2 linked regions of the Kluyveromyces lactis genome follow. The protein of the gene in region 2 interacts with the protein of the main gene of each other region in a biochemical or structural test. Links are inferred from orthologs where the notes say so. Each region holds a gene or a part of one and is shown on either strand. Other genes may lie near its edges.

Region 1 (3,749 bases), on a different chromosome or scaffold from region 2:
CAATGCTTTGTTTAGATCGCAGCTTCGGCATAAACTGTGGGTTAACTTCATCATCAAACGTTTCGCTGGAGCTTACAGACCCCGGAGTAGTAACATTACTCGATGATTTGTACTTCACAGTATCTTCCTCCTCAGAAATATTTAAAGGCCCGCATATATCTTGCAAAACACTTGTGCTATTGTTCGAAACAACTGATACCTCATCTTTAATCTTCGCGTCAAACATTTTGTTGATCCGTTTTATTCGTGAGTCACTAATCTTTCTCTGGGGAGACCGCAGATTGAGAAATTCAGGCATTGAACTCATATTATCGCATCAGCGTAATATTCAACTCCGAGCTTTGAAGTAGCACATATGCATTGGATATTTCCTTTTCGTGTGATTATAGGCGATGTTTCACCGAGGAAATTTCGATTGTGTATTTTTAAAGGTTTACAAAAATCCAAACCTTTAAATGTTGATATTATGCATCGGAACATGTAGAGGTAACACCGAAAGTGATATGCACCTAACTGGTCACCTAATTTCTATGACAGAGAGAAGGTCCATGATACTGTTTTTTGAGCACAGTTTTTACTTTTATCGTGGTTCAAAACTGCAAATAAGACTTGGGCCCTTTAATGACATAGAATTCTGTTTCACAATGAAGGGAGAAGTGTAGATTAATAATACTATAGATAGATTACATTAATGCAAAAATTATATGATATTTAACAGGCGCGTAGTATTCATTTATTGTCTAGAATAAAAAAAGCAAATGTAATTACATGACACACGCACAGCTAGAGTTGGTTTTAATTGAAGTTGAATTGCTGGTTGACATTTGATCCAAATCCAAAAGTGTTACCAGCTGTTTGTGGAGCCATAGATTCATCAACAACATCATCTTCATCACTAAAGTACTTTTCAATGATCTTGAAGGCCTTTTCGTAAATTTTTTCGTTAGCATTAGACTGTAAATTGAAGATCTTTTCCATACCACCAGCTTTCTCAATGAAATCAGCATTTTCGTTCACGGCAATACCTCTGACTTCTCTATCCATTTCACCCATCTTCAAAATATTTTCTATAGCATCTAGTGTAACCTCTATGATTCTGTTATCAGCAATCTCTAATAGATCGCACAATGGTTTTATACAGCCTTGACTGACCAAATATCTGATAATTTCTGGCTTGTGTAACCCACCAGAAGAGGCATTCGAGATGGCCCAACATGCTTCTTTCTTTGTCTTATATTCTGCAGTTTCCAACAATCTGATTAATGGTGGAATTAAGTTAGCATCAATAACGGCTTGAATCTGTTCCGTATTACCAGCGGTTATATTAGAGATGGTCCAACAAGCTTCCTTTCTTATGGATTCCTTTGGAGAAGCCAATAGATTTCTTAGAGCTGCCAAGGCTCCACAGTTGATAACGATCTGAGTTTGCAAATCGTTACCTGTGACAATGTTACCTACAGCTCTTAGAGCAGGGGTTTGCACTAACGTAGATTGGTGGGATAGTAGTTCTACAAGTCTCTTTGGGATTCTAGCATCTACTACCGCTTGGATCGAATTAACCGGGCCATCGGAAAGATATGAGATAGCCCAACAAGCATCGACTAACGTTTCAGTATCCATGGAGTAGATTAGCTTAGACAAAGTTGGCAAAGCTTGAGACACGATAGACCAATCTGGTTGAGGTTTCTTACCACGACACAAGTTAGATAAAGTCCACGTAGCTGTTCTAATCAAGGAAGTCTTGTTCAATTCGAACAAATATAGAATTGGTTGCATGGCACCACATTGCAAAACGTAGTCTCTATAATCGGTGGAATCACCAGCAACGTTACCCAAGGCCCAAATAGCTTGTTCCTTCACTTCAACCGAGTTTGAATATAATAATTGAATGAATAATGGCACAGCACCCGCATCTACGACGACTCTAGTCTGCTCAGAAGTACCAGAAGCAATGTTCGTCAACGCCCAAGCAGCTTCCAATTGCAACATCTCAGGTTGATTTTCGCTCATGAATTGGACCAAGGTTGGCACTACGCCAGTACTGATAACCAAATCGATAGGTGGTCTGTGTTCTCTAGACAAGACTTGTCTAAACTTGACCGTCACAGCCAACTGTTGTTGTAGATCGTTAGAATGGATTTGTTCCAACATAGCAGGCAACTCCTGTTGTAATTGTCTGTAGAAAGAGGAGTCCTGATCGTCATCATCATCATTTTCATCATCAGAATCGTTACCAACAGGCGCATTGAAATTTCTTCTTTTTGCTAATGCCTCATCCCTCTTGACTTTTCTCAACTCGACTTGTTGAACGTCTCTACGACGACGTAATTCATCAGCAGAGAATCTACCCTTATTCTTGAAGTTTGTCCTCCTGTATTCAGGAACAAACTTGCTGGAAGTGTCACCGTCCATCTTTCACTTATAAAATAATAAAACGGATACCTGCTATCTGATCCTTCGTGCTAGCCGCGAACCAAAGAAAATTCAGAGAAGTAAAAAAAAAGATTGTAACTAATTCCTTTCTACCAAACTCACAATCACAATTGATCGTCCCGTCTTTTCAAGTAGATATTTTTGCAAATGGGTTCCAAATCAAACAAAAATAAAGAGAAGTTGGATTTAAAGAAGAAATTATCAGTCGCAAAATCAATCTCTAACAATCACAAATAGCGTTTCCCCTTGAGTAAATGAAAATCTGATTCGTTTCTTTGTATTGCTTGACAGAAAAATATATCGGAAGCCAAGAGCACCGTATTGTTTTATATATGTAACAGTGTAATTGAAGTAGAATGCAAACCAATCTTTTATTCAATCCCATATAATATCCATCTTGATTAAAATCCTTCTTTTTTGGCCATCCAAAAAATTCGAATTTTTTTTTTTGGTTGAAATTTCTTTGCCAGATAGTCGTGATGTACGGAGTTGTCACGTGACATACCAACCTCGTGTAAGAAAACGACAAAGGTTCTAACATCAAAAGACAGGAAAAGATGGGCAGGGTCAATTTGACACACTTTTCAACACATATTAAGAGATGTATATACGTATACATAATATATTTGGGATGGTTGGTAATATAAATATATCACCGGGGATTCCTTGTTTTCGTTCCTCATTCATTCTCATGATACACACACACTAAAGTATACATGAGGGTAAGTTGATGAGAGTAGAAGCGAAAGAATTGTGATACAATCAACTAGCATAAGTTCCTTTTTCTATTTCCCCCTTTAGTAAGCATCAAAAATACATTCACTGGGTATTGGAGATGGATGGAATGATTTGAGGGAGAGAAAAAGGAATGGACAAAACCGCTCAGTTGATGTTTTATTGACATGTTCTCTCTAGCAGCATTTTGAAAATGTCCCTCACAAATAAATGAGTGCTCGAATGAACAGGCGGGAAAGATTCAGAATTCAACGCCAAGAAAGAAACACGGTTCACCTACTGCACTCCATTCCTTTTTGTTATATATATACTCCAAATATCGACGATTATGAATTTTCACAACACACACACTGCTGTACGGTTCATAAACGTCAATTTTTTTTCATTCATGAAATGGAATAATTTTCAAATTAGGACACAGATAGATGAGATTGAGTAGTATATACTGTGTTAATTTAACACAATACACTTACACTCAAAACAAAAAATTTGTTAGCACGCGACACGACACACGACACACATTCACGACACGCAGCAACGACATAGGTAAGGTAGTAGAATAATATAGGTAATTCATGGAA
Region 2 (2,786 bases):
ATTCAATGGCGAAACAGAATACCATACCAAAGATTCCATCAAAACGTACCGTATATTGAAGCATCCTAAATTCCTAATACTTCATTTCAACAGGTTTGACAAAGGCTTCACTTCCATTAAAGATAGAAACAAAACTCTAGTAGAGTTCTCTGAAAAATTAGAATTCAGTGGTGTACACTATAAATTACTAGTAAATATCACCCATGATTGCGTAATACAAATGAAAATATCGGATACAGAAGATTTGTTAGCCAGCAGATGGAAAGTACACCTCGCTGATACTTTACGCGACCAATGGTACGAGTTTGATGACATTGAAGTGAATAAGGTTGAGAAAGAGTTTCTTTTCCTTAAAGAATGTTACATTCAAATATGGCAACGCGTTTAGAAACTGCTTTCGTTATTCAGATTATCTACACTCTTGGATCGATTCATCATTTCATCGGCTAAAACTTATCTCGCAAATTGAAGTTGATGTATTTTTACTGTATGTAAGATGGTTATTTAATAGCAACAGAGTTAACACCCGCTGTTAATACAGATACTATATTGTCTTCCAAGAGCTTTTCAGCAGTCTCTGCAAGATGTCTTTTTGGATCCTGTTTTCCTACATAACGCGTTTTCAATTCTTCTTCACTCAATTCTCTCTCTTCCTCAATTCTCTTAGTGAATTGTTCAGCGATCTTAATCATTTTCTGAGTTTCACCCAAGTTGTGCTCCTCTCTTTCCTTGAAATCATGCATTTTTAGTCCCGATTGCCATTGTTCCTTATGTAGATTCATTAACATGTTCATTTCGGCGGAAGTCTTGTGATAATCGATATTAAGCGAGTAATAATGCCTATTTAGACCATGAATCAACGCTTGAATATTCGGTTTGTTGATCAACCCGATATTAGAAGTATTTTGCCTTGGTTCCTGGTTTCTCATGACAGTAGAAGGGTCAATTAGTCTGAATGCATCAATGACCACTTTACCCTTCACCGATTGAATAGGATCAACAACCACCGCCACAGCCCTGCTGTTTAATTGTTCAAATGATTTCTGAGTATTCACATCTACTGAAGATAACCAACAACCAAAACCCGGATGTGAATGGTACCATCCGACAACCATTTGATCTCTTCCTGTTTGTTTTAACATATCCATCATCTTAGCTTGAAAAACATCATCAACAGCCTCGACAGAAACACCTGTACCTGACTGAGGCATGGCAAACACATCGACAACGTTTACTGTATAATCATCAACAAATTCTCCCAACATAAGACCCATGACTTCCATTGGAACACCAGCTCTCCCATGTTTCAACATCTTCAACAATGCAAGAGAAGAAATGTACACAGTTTCCTTGGTGTCATCAAGGGGAACCTCGGTGGCATTGGCACCCATCATGCCTGCTCTTTGAGACATCATCATTCTTTGTAAACTTTCCATCTTTTGTTGAAGGATTTGAATTGCGGAGACGATAAATTGGCTTTTGTATCAGCGTTCTGTTTCTTGATATAATACTTCCTTAATAAAGTACCAACAAATTGAAATTCTTATTCTTTCCTGAGAAGTATGCAATTGTCTTGTAGATTTCAATTACTGTGTATCTAATACTGCTAATAATGACTTATGGATACCACACGTACAGAGATGAGAATTCTTGACGAATTATCTGCTTATACCTTTATCAATTGTAAACTGTTTGCCACTGCATTACAAAGTTACGATCTTTCTTTTGGCTTATGGATTTAGTAGTCATTATTAACGAACATCACCACTTTCTGACCTTCAGATATTTAACCTCTTTCTTCCCTTTAAAAATGAGATGAGACTGGAGTACTTCTATGCATACATGGATATCTCATATACAAAGCGAAGCTCCATGGTCTAGTACAGTCAAATACTCGAGAGCACGACTTGTTGAAGAAAATATTCCGTTTTATTGACGCCGAAGATTTTAGAAATAGGAAACGATTTCTTACATTATTCATACTTTGTTCCCAGTCCTTTGATAAGTGAAATTACGAAAGATTATCAAGACTTAGACAGGAAAACTTTACCTATCGTCACGCTTTTTTTATCAGTTTGATCCATCATCATAATTAAACTTTGAAATATTTCCTAACATATGAGTGAAGGACCTTCTGCTCTTCCTGAAGGAACGCATACCGTCACTGTTACGGAGGTTCCGCAGCTGCTTCAATTGCGTGCTGGCCAGAATGAGAAAAACAAAACTAAGAAGAAGGACACCAAGTCTAAAGTAAGATGGGATGAGAAAGTAATAGATAATGAGAACATGAACAAGAAGAAAACTAAGATTTGTTGCATTTTCCATCCTAATACCCCATTAGAGAGTGATGAAGAAGAGGAAGGAGAGTGCGAGCACGATCATAATCATGGACATGATTCATCGTCTTCATCATCTTCGTCTTCTTCAGACGAGGATGAGGGAAAAAGCTTTGACGAAAGAAGAAAGGCAAGACTCGAAAGGCGGAGAAAAAAGCTTGAGCAAAAACGTCCACCAAGTCCGAATGCATACGAAGTCCAGCCAGATTACAGCGCTTATAGAGATAAGAACAGAAAAGACGCTCAATGATTTAGGAATTTGATCAGCATACTCTTTCACTTCTTGTACATTTCGTTGCATCTTCTACTCACTACAACAATGCACTGCTGAAAAGGTAATTGGCAGTTCAAATGTATATATATACATATGCATATATAATCTATCAGGCAATTATATCGAATAACAATCGACTTACACATGGTTATTTTATTGTATGCTATTATGGTAGG

What was found. The genes of interacting proteins can lie anywhere in the genome.
Region 1: the proteins of RPN11 (region 2) and SRP1 form a complex in vitro, tested with the Saccharomyces cerevisiae proteins (2 studies listed by BioGRID). The link is inferred for Kluyveromyces lactis from reciprocal best matches to the Saccharomyces cerevisiae genes RPN11 and SRP1.

What each region holds. Positions count from the first base shown.
Region 1 is NC_006040.1:729,394-733,142, forward strand, and holds SRP1 (karyopherin alpha), read right to left. Parts: upstream 2,413-3,749; coding exon 796-2,412; downstream 1-795. Other genes in the region: KAR1 (Kar1p), read right to left, coding at 1-307. UniProt on the Saccharomyces cerevisiae protein: Functions in nuclear protein import as an adapter protein for importin beta nuclear receptors. Binds specifically and directly to substrates containing either a simple or bipartite NLS motif. Promotes docking of import substrates to the nuclear envelope.
Region 2 is NC_006041.1:1,251,380-1,254,165, forward strand, and holds RPN11 (proteasome regulatory particle lid subunit RPN11), read right to left. Parts: upstream 1,437-2,786; coding exon 501-1,436; downstream 1-500. Other genes in the region: mRNA splicing protein SAD1, read left to right, coding at 1-388; type 1 protein phosphatase-activating protein YPI1, read left to right, coding at 2,119-2,586. UniProt on the Saccharomyces cerevisiae protein: Component of the lid subcomplex of the 26S proteasome, a multiprotein complex involved in the ATP-dependent degradation of ubiquitinated proteins.